3 linked regions of the Oryzias latipes genome follow. The protein of the gene in region 3 purifies or fractionates together with the protein of the main gene of each other region. This does not show direct contact. Links are inferred from orthologs where the notes say so. Each region holds a gene or a part of one and is shown on either strand. Other genes may lie near its edges.

What was found.
Region 1: the proteins of wrap73 (region 3) and cep135 purify together in Homo sapiens (co-immunoprecipitation; 6 studies listed by BioGRID and IntAct, counting the BioPlex papers as one, with this or other methods). This does not show direct contact. The link is inferred for Oryzias latipes from reciprocal best matches to the Homo sapiens genes WRAP73 and CEP135.
Region 2: the proteins of wrap73 (region 3) and rnf219 purify together in Homo sapiens (affinity purification with mass spectrometry; 3 studies listed by BioGRID and IntAct, counting the BioPlex papers as one, with this or other methods). This does not show direct contact. The link is inferred for Oryzias latipes from reciprocal best matches to the Homo sapiens genes WRAP73 and OBI1.

What each region holds. Positions count from the first base shown.
Region 1 is NC_019862.2:39,707-42,412, reverse strand, and holds the end of cep135 (centrosomal protein of 135 kDa), read left to right. Parts: intron 1-1,564; coding exon 1,565-1,721; 3' UTR 1,722-2,148; downstream 2,149-2,706. Other genes in the region: chst14 (carbohydrate sulfotransferase 14), read right to left, coding at 2,431-2,706. UniProt on the Homo sapiens protein: Centrosomal microtubule-binding protein involved in centriole biogenesis. Acts as a scaffolding protein during early centriole biogenesis.
Region 2 is NC_019861.2:14,864,353-14,868,111, reverse strand, and holds the start of rnf219 (RING finger protein 219), read right to left. Parts: upstream 2,744-3,759; 5' UTR 2,638-2,743; coding exon 2,566-2,637; intron 2,376-2,565; coding exon 2,240-2,375; intron 1,664-2,239; coding exon 1,572-1,663; intron 514-1,571; coding exon 292-513; intron 85-291; coding exon 1-84. UniProt on the Homo sapiens protein: E3 ubiquitin ligase essential for DNA replication origin activation during S phase.
Region 3 is NC_019865.2:8,170,470-8,174,128, forward strand, and holds part of wrap73 (WD repeat-containing protein WRAP73), read left to right. Parts: intron 1-1,914; coding exon 1,915-2,018; intron 2,019-2,571; coding exon 2,572-2,658; intron 2,659-3,335; coding exon 3,336-3,470; intron 3,471-3,540; coding exon 3,541-3,618; intron 3,619-3,659.

The sequences.
Region 1 (2,706 bases), on a different chromosome or scaffold from region 3:
GCCCGCCAGACCCCAGCCCAGTTTATGTTTAACAGTTGGATGTTGTGAATGAGGTTAATAAAGTCCATTTTCAGTACTTGCGTACTTATTTAAAACTGGAACTTAAAGTATTTTTAGAGTGCATTTACTGATGTTCAATTTTCAATTCAATTCAATTCAATTTTATTTGTATAGCCCAAAATCACAACAACAGTCGTCTCGATGGGCTTCGAAGTGAAACATGAACTCAAAAGGATCACGAATACAAAGAGTTCAATAGGAAAATACTAAAATGAACTAACAAACTGACTAAGCTATACTGGCATCCCTGCCCTTAGACCCCCCTTCGCGGTAAGGAAAAACTCCCAAAAAAAAACGGATTCCGGAAAAAACAAAGAAACCTCAGGGGTGTCCACATGAAGGAGGGATCCTCCCCCAGGACGGACAGGTGATTTACCAGAACTCTTAGAGAAGAATTAACTTATCTAAATCTACAACTACATATATAAAATCAAGCAGACGAGCTTCATCCAGCTGTGGTCGGGGGGACAGTCAAAGGCGCGAGTCGAGCCGGAGACAGGAACCACGGCCAGGTGTAGGAGCAGGAGCAGAGATGAGGTACTCTGTCAGGTACAGAGCAGAGACGAGCCAGAGATGAGCCTGAGACAGGATCCACAGCCAGGTGTAGGAGCAGGAGCAAAGGCGAGGTAGACTGTCAGCAACTGGAGCACGGATGAGCCAACAGGAGTCTGGAAGCACTCCCACTCCCCAGGAGGGGAGAGGAAAAGAGGGACAATACATGAATCGCACTGCACCAAACAGAGGCATGGAGAACTAAATGATGAATAATGATCAAGAATGGAGAAGAGAGGAAGGGTAGAAGTAGAAGAGAAAAGAGGACAGAACCCCAGAGCACCATAGTTACCCCAGCTTCAACTTCTAGCAGCCTTTTAAAAGAAATAGTTACTATTAAGTTTAATTTAAACAAATTAACATTAAGTTAAATAATCTCTGAATACTAACTAGTCTGACAATAAGCCTGTCCAAAGAGGAATGTTTTCAGTCTAACTTTGAATGTAGAAACTGAGTCGGCCTCTCTTCCATGAGCTGGGAGTTTATTCCATAAGACAGGGGCTTGGTGGCTAAATGCTCTACTTCCAACCGTACTTTTACTAATTCTAGGAACCACAAGCAGTCCTGCATTTAGTGAGTGAAGTGTTCTTATTGGGTGGTAAGGGACTATGAGGTCCTTAATATAGGACGGGGCCATTCCATGTAAGGCCTTATAGGCTAACAGTGAAGTGAAACTAACACAGGAGTGATGTGATCTCTTCTGCTAGTTCCAGCTAACAATCTAGCTGCTGCGTTCTGAACAAGCTGAAGACTTCTTAAGGAACTCTTAGGACACGCTGCTAACAAGGAGTTACAGTAATCCAGCCTCGACGTAACAAATGCATGGATGAGTTTTTCCGCATCACTCTTAGAAAGTATATTTCTGATCTTAGCAATATTCCGCAGGTGAAAAATGATGTTGCTTTTTGCAAATGCAAAAACTGACTAAATGTAAACATTTGTGTGTTTTCAGTGAAAGGGTGGTTCAGGAGATGCGCAGACAGGGTCTTTCCTTCTCATCCCTGGACAGCAACTCTTCCCTCACAGCCTCCAGCGGCATTCACGGTGCCTCCCAACACTCTATCTTCCAAACTCTTGAGCGCTCTTCTGACAAGTCAGCAGACAAGTAACCTGAATTTGAGTGTCAGAGACCTGACATCCTTCATTTCTGCATGCACTCTGGATATTACCCATCTCTTTTTCAAGGACAGCAGAGAAAAATTCTGTATTGAAAAGTGAGTTGGACACAAATCCTTCCAGAAATGCATGCTGAATGAAATCGCTTCTAGCACTCCCCATTATTACCGTACTATTTTCTTCAATAAATCATCCAAATTTTAGAAAGAAATAAGCAGAAACTACTGCTTGAAATTAGATTTTTTCCTTTCAGAATAAGCAGCTTGTTCTGTCAGTATGATGTTCCGAGTTATTGAAAAATCCTTTCATTTCCAACATTTTTATCTCTTACATGTTAGAAAAACATGCATTATGTGGCAAAACTTGTATTTTTTTTTTATTATGTTAAGTTATTAACAAAATAAAGGTGTACATAAACCATGAAGCTCAGTAAATGGTCCAATTCCATTACATGCTGTGTGCTTTTGCCTGCTAAGTCTTTTTCACTTTTAAATCTTCCCATGAACAAATACAAAAACAATTTTGACCATATCTGTCATTGTGTAATAAAACAACTATTGTAACAGATACTTTAAGGCTGGTTTAAAACCTTTTCAAGCTTTAGTGGGTTGAAGTCTGGTCAAACAGCATTGCAGCAGCATTGCAATAATTTGCACCCCTCTGCAAACACAGATGATTGTCTATAAAATGGTGAGGCACTCCTTAATGCCTGCAGTGGTCCATGGTCATGTTGGGAAGAGGATAAGTGAATAAGGAGAAGTCTAAGATATACTTTGGGAGGAGTTCTCTCAGAAGCTTCTGGGGCAAACTGCACAGGTAAAAGTGTAAGGTCTCTGTAGTAACTGGCTTGTACCACGTCTGCCTTTCGGGGAAGTGAACAGAAGAAGGCACATTGATGAGTTGCAACACAAAGTCTGCATCGGTTTCAAGGTGTTCATAGGAGCCAATGAAATCGTAGGACATGGCACAAGGCTGGCA
Region 2 (3,759 bases), on a different chromosome or scaffold from region 3:
AGGAGATCTGCTCGCCACTTCTGCTTTAAGTCTCATGTTCTCTTGGACAAGGTCTACATTTTGAGAACGCAGGATCTTATTTGCCTAAAGGAAACAGAGAAAGTCTCAAATAAAAATAAGATATCGTACGCTTCTGTTAAAACTTAAGAAATGCATGCAGTTACCCTTCCAACTATTAACTTTACTTGTATTTCTATATATAGAATTATAAGACCTGTAAATACACGACATATGCACAAGCTTTATCAACATCTGTCAGTAAATACAGAACATGTGTTTAGTTGTGTGTACCTCTTTCAGTTTGTCCATGTCCTGCTTTATTTGATCACAAACATCTGTGGCTGCTTGCAGCTTGTTCTTCCATTCCTCTACAACAAAGTGAGGGACCCTCTTTTCATCTGCTTCCACTGCATTTATGCTGGTAGGAAGCAATGCGGTCTTCAGCTGGGTTTCCAGATTTTGAGTTTTGACTTTCAGCTCCTCGTTTTCTCTCATAAGCCCTTCGATCTCTTCCTGACGTGGAAAGGTTTTGTGAAAAACAAGGGTCAGGAGAAAAACCAAATTAAAAAAACAAATAAACATGAAATTCAATCCAAGTTTAATCATAATCTTGTTATGTGAAAGATAGAAAAAGTGAATTACAGTGGTCCTTGCTTAATTGCAGTTCACCTTTTGTGGCTCACTGTTTTGCAGACTTGTTTTTGTGCAGCTTTAGATGGTTTTCTTTTTTTTTTTTAAACACTGTGTTCTGCATGGTAATAGGCTGAAGATCTTGTCAATCAATCTCCTTTATGCCATGTCTCCTGTACAAGAAGCAGGCAGCTCTGCAAAGCCAGTTCTCCAAAAGATTTTTGTTTTTGTTCCATAATACTGAACTTATTTTTCTATGAAGCTAGGAACTTTGAGAAAAAAAGTGTTAAAATATTAATGTCCGTCTTTGTGGATTTCACTTTTTGCAGATAAACAAGAGAACACTATTTAAACTTCTGCTTTTCAGTCACTATTATTGGTAAATAAGCTGGTTAAAAGATGATATTATTTAACAAACAAGTATAGATTGGTTATGTTATTTTTTAATATAAAAAATTTAACTTAACATAACATAGTTTTACAAATTTAACATAAAATAACACAACATAACAAATAATTCTTCAAAATGTCTTAAAATGTATGTTAATTCCGTGGGAGACCATTTTCCTTTTAGTCTCACAGTAGGAATATGTCAACACGTTCTACACTAAATAAAGCGGATATAACCAAAAATAACCAACAAATTGAAAGGACTTGGAGTAGTGAACCATTGTAATATTTGTAGTGCCAATATAGTGAAACAGTTTGATTAGAGTCCAAATAAATTCTAATAAAAGCTTTGATTGATACTTAGCAGTAATTGTTCAAATTTGACTGAACAGTGCTGACTGGATTTTAATAGTAGTCGTGTAAACTCCCCTCAAACCCTTTAACCTGTTAATTTTGTAGCTAACCCTCTACACACATACTCACGGGTTCCCAGTTAAGCAGAATTAACTAGTAATTTAAAATATCAGAAAGCATCCTGAATGCAGCCGTACCTCATACTCCCGTAAAAGCAGCTCTCCTCTGGTTTTACGGAGACATTTTCTCATGGATGTGTTGTCACTGTGATCGCCTTCATTCGTCCCCCCTGTAGCAGAATGACAAAAAGATTATATTTCCAAAAATATACACATGATACTAGTAGTTTTCCAAGTAGATACTGAATATACGTTCTGGTGCCAAAATATCAAAAACTGAATCTAGCTACCATATTTAAGAAATGATATATAAGCAGATCAAAAGTTGATAAATTAACATTAAAGTAATTCAAACAAATGTTCTATCTAACAGACTGTTGTAACCTTATTTCTGGAACAAACCTTTAACTCAAAGCAAAGAAAACAACATGAGTGACATTATCATATCCTCATTTATTAGTTACTTGCCTACATTTAAAAAGAAACATGAAAATATATAGTTTATAAGGGGAATGCATGGAGAAACAGTTCAGCACCTCTAATGTGTCAACAAAAACATTGTGGGACTTGCAAATGATAGAACTGTATTGAGCTAATCCTTTATTTTCTGTACAGGAGTGTTAAGTTTATGTAGATTTAATTAAGTATTTTCTTAACAATGCAGACAGTGCATCCTCTACTGATCTTTTTTTTTTTTGGGGGGGGGGGGGGGGGGGGGCCCCCCCCTCGTTTGTAGCGGTACTCACCGATGATCTCTCTGCACGGACTCTCTGCTGTGATGGGCACTCTGCAGGTGGGACACTGGCCGGCTTTCTTTAACCACACTTCCATGCAGGACGAACAGAACACGTGGTAGTTGGCACAAATGACCGGCTGCCTGACCTGCACGGAGACGAGTATCAGACAATTATTTTTTGACAAAAAAATAAAAATACAAATAGACGCTTTCCTTTGGTGATCCGAGTTGCAGCTGGGTGACTAGCGCGCCGCTAGTGCAGTCACCGCCAGACAACGCAGGAGAAGTTTTACTTCCTCTATTCCCGGCTAATGTCGAAATGTAGATGCTGCTTACCTTTCCGAGGCAAATTTGACAGGAAATGGGCAAAGTTAGAGACAGAGTCGATGCCTGATAATTGAGCGCCATCGCTTGTTGTCAAGACACGACACAGTTCCCGCGGGGAGGTACAAGTTTCCCACCAGGAACTAACCGTCGGTCTGCGCGCGCGTCATGAGCTACGGAACTCTTTGAGGGACAAAAAGGGTTGATTTTAGTACGGACAGGGTCATGTTTATTTTCTATTTCTTTTAAATATATTTGGTAGTTTTCTTTTTCATGAGAACTTTTACCTAGAAGTGAACAAAATAGGAATCTTTTTTATGGACTTTTTGACCCTGCCTCTTTGAAAGCAATTTTACTCTGCCTAGTTCTCCAGTGGTTATACTTATAGCAAAAAAAACTTCCACAGTAGTGGCCTTTTTGGTTATTTTTTTAATGAGTTGAAGATGTATTTACATTCAGTTAGTTTAGCTGCTAATGTGGTGAAAAGCTTGGAAATGTGTGAATGCACTTCACCAATAATGTTCCCCATTGGATGATTGAGAATGGAGAATGGGTGGGATGAGCTCATTTACCAGAACTATTCCGCCCACTTCAACAAATGGATCTTTTGTTGTGTTCACTAATGGGTTTACTCATATGTCAATCAAAAACATGTACACATGTCAGTCATCACAGAATCAAAATAGCTGTGGTTGTGCCCCCCCCCCACACACACACAAACACACACAGCCTAAATGGAAAGTCAATCACTAACAATTTCATAGACTTTTAAAACAAGATTATCTACATGTTTTCTCGGAGTATGACTTTTTAACATATAGGAGATAATGGTAAATGCTTCCTTCTCCCAACTAGTCCATGGCTTCTTTTTAGGAGCTCCAAGGTTTGGTACCTCCTGGTGGCTTAAAATTAAAACAAAAAACAGAGAAATAAAAAAAAACATATTTTGGAATAAAAAATAAGTAACTTTTTCGAGTTTGCCTGGAGACGCTGCATGTTAGGTCCGAAATACTAAGTCATCATAGGAAAAAAAAAACTGTTCAGAAGTGTCCTAATTTCAACTTTGCTGCTGGTTTTATAAATTTTAAAACATTTGGAATCTGTTGTGTGGATTTTAAACCTGTTTTTGGTAATTTCTAGAAGGTTTCCTACATGTATGCTTATTTTAGGATTGTTAGTTGGCTTGTAATTTTAGATCTTTATGGA
Region 3 (3,659 bases):
GGACAGGACCAGCACAGGCATACCCCATTAATCACAGGGCGCCTTTTTTTCTTTGCATTGTGACACAACCCCGGATATGTATCCAAAGTGTAGCCCTCTCCGCTGACAGCTGTCCCCCTCCTCAGTAAATGGGGCATGCTCTTCATAACAGGCCTGTCAGCGACTTGTAGAAATACGATTGTTCCTGTCTCTCCCATTTTCCAAAGTACAATACAAGGTCACTTTAAGATCCACGTATCATAAGAGTTGACAAAATAGAACCATGATGCTTTAATAATGATGTCAAAGAGTCTTGTAATTTCCTTTTTAGGATAGCATGAGGTTATGCTCTAATCCCTTTTTATTGTACTTAAGATATATATACATTTTATATACCTAAAATATTCCAAATTAAATAAAACAGCTTTTACTTAACAGAAACTTGCAAATTGTCCTCAGCCCAGTGTTTGCTTGTTTTTTAATGGTGACTCTGGCGCAGTGAGAGCTGTTCCCATTTGTGATGCTGTTTAAGGTTTTTCCTAAAGGGAGAGGTTTAGATTTGTGATTTGATAATGTGCTGACTGCGTCTGCTAATAGACCCACCAACCCTGTAAAGCTCTACATTAATGTTATTGCCAGCTGTTACAGCCCCATATTGTGATGTGAATTCCCCCCATTGTGGATTCCACCAGAGAGGAATGTGTTGCGTTCCACCAGCGGCTGCTGGAGCTGATGCTTGCTACCAAAGAAAATGTGTGTGATACTATTAGACAGGCTGCGGCTGGTTTAGGAAGTGTTTGAAAATTGGCACTAAGCTCCTCTAAAAATATACTTCACTTCCACCAGACAGATAAGCCAGGCAGGAAACAGACACAGAAGCAAGGTAAAGAGTCTGTCCCATTCCCAAAGTAAATCCCCAGAACAATACTGTCAATTGAAACTGGTGGTGTTAAGACAGCAACAGTTGGAACAAGCCTGTGAGTCAGCTTGATAGCTTGTTATCGATGATTAGGTTATTAATTAGTAGTATACAGTATTTTTCAGAAAAGAAAGTGCAGAAAGATTCCACTATTTTATTTATATCTTTAGTGTCTTTGAAATGTTAACATAATTCTGTCATTTGGTGTGCATAAATTCAGAGTTTTGTCTGAATGTCATTCAGTTTACCTCCACACGCCGTTAGGGCTTAGTCACAACTGCCCTTACAGGTGGATACAGGCTGTCTGGAGGCGAGTAATGAGCAAACCTGTACAGGGCATGTAGGTGGCCTACACAACATGGCTTACATTATCTGTACAAATACTTCAGGACACACTTATCACACGTACAACAATAGTGCGTTCCATTTTTATAGCGTCCCTTAAGGTGGCCGCACAAACCTGGGGGAAACTGTGGGACACCCCTGCACTCCCTTTAAGATGAGGTCGCTCCTGTCTATGACCCTCCACGGGCCAAGGCAAAGCCGCAGCATCCGTACGGGTCCCCCCCCCCCACGAGTGGTGCATGTCACTATGGCTTCACATCTATTGAGCAGCTATTAGCCAAGACATTGTTTTAAAAGGATTTTGTGATCTGAAGTTCTGTTAAACTAAAAACTGTCCTTTCAGACATTTTTCCCCATCCTTAATAAAATTGAAAAATTATATTTTTGTTGCTTCTTTGTAAAGTTACATGGTTTTAAAATGTTTTCGGAATTGCTTTGAAATGGTTCCAATGTGTGAATCTGTTGTTCCATCGGATTATAGAGGTTTAAATAAGAGTAAAACCTTTTAGTTTCCTCCTTTAAGACATAAAAGTAAAACTTTCAGCCTTTTTTAAACGATGCTGTTATGAGATCCTTCTGATTCCAAGAAAACCTTTTATGTTTGGATTGATGGATTTGGGTTAAACTGCTTTTGTCTGCGTTGTCACCTTAAAATTCCGGGATTCTTACAGGTTTAGACTTCAGCAGAGATGGATGCTATATGGCTCTGGCTGAGCGTCGTGACTGCAAAGACTACGTCAGTATATTTGTTTGTGACGACTGGCATTTACTCAGGGTAAGAAGGGTTCTGCTTTCTATCAAATCTCAGTGTTTTAACAAAAGCTGTTTTCTAAATGAAATGTTAACAGGGATAAATCATGACACTGTTTTTTTCCTCTATGTTGAATAGTTGTCAATTAGAATAGAATAGACTTTATTGTTACTGCCAGCAGCAGTTCAAATGACAAAGTTACGACTAAGCTTTGGGGAAAAAACAAATGTTGATTCTTAAGATATCAAACAGGGAGCTAAAAATAAACTATAATATGGAAAATTATGGATCTAAAATATTAACATTTTAACAAGTGTAAATCAGGACCTTCAGGACCTAAAGACTTATTATTTTTTATTCTAACACTCATTTTATTACAGATGGGACAAACAGCTAAGAGAAAAAACCAAAAAATAAAAACCGAGTTACACTATTGCTGTAATTCCAATTTGGCTGCATCTGTAGATGTTGGATCAGTTTTAATTATCTTGTTGGTATAGAATTTTAAGTAATGTAACATATGGGTTTTGGGGTGTCAGTTAATGAATGTAAACATGAATCCACACTTTGATTACAGCATTTTGAGACTGAAACTCAGGACCTTTCTGGATTGGAGTGGTCTCCCAACGGCTGTGTGCTGGCCGTGTGGGAGAGCTGTCTGGAGGTGAGCTTTTTAATTTCACCTGTACCGGTTAACCCCTTAAGTTATAGTAACTTGTTACTTTTAATATTACATTGTGTGTAAGGAATGTCTGGATTCCTATATGGGTTGGTCCTTTTGAGGCTACAGCAAACCCTTTGAGTGTGGGACAGCGTTATAATAAGCTACATAGTCATAGTAGTAGGTTTAGGGGCTTTCATCTGGACTTAGTTTTTAATGTTAGAAGACGTTTCACCTCTTATCCAAAAGGCTTTGTCAATTCTGAATTAGCTGGTAAAAGAGCTGGTATATATGCGCTCTTGGGGGAGGAGTCAGACCTGAAACCGGATGGTAGTGTCAACTTAGCCTACGACAATACCATTGTCACAAAAAAACAGAATTTCTATGTTGAGGTATTTTCATTTATAGTATTAAATGCCTAAACGAATGATGTATATCTAGATTGTATTCATTTACGTAAAAGAACTGGCCTGTATCGTATCACCATAAAGTTAATTGTATCTTTTATGCATCGATTCTTGGACCATGTATGAAGATGCTCAGAATCATTTTAGAGGGAAAGACATACTCCCACTTTACTATAAATGTTATGAGTGATACCCAGGTTGGATAGATGGGCTGCCCAAAGAAGGTTAGAAGAGTGCTGTTTTTATTGTTTAAAGTGCTTGTCCTGTCTGCAGTACAAGATGTCGCTTTACTCGTTGGATGGCCGGCTGCTGTCAACCTACAGTGCCTATGAGTGGTCGCTGGGTATCAAGTCCGTGTCGTGGAGCCCCAGCAGCCAGTTCCTGGCCATTGGCAGCTTTGATGAAAAAGTATGGACAGCCTTAAAAAAAAGTTTTCCGTATGTAGTTCAATCTTCAGAGTTTCATTCTTCCATTTCAGGTCCGCATCCTCAATCATATCACATGGAAAAAAATTGCACAGTTTGAGCATCCTGCTATCATTGATAACACAAAAGCTGTAAGTACTTTAGACTAATAAATGAACCACCTGCAAATACA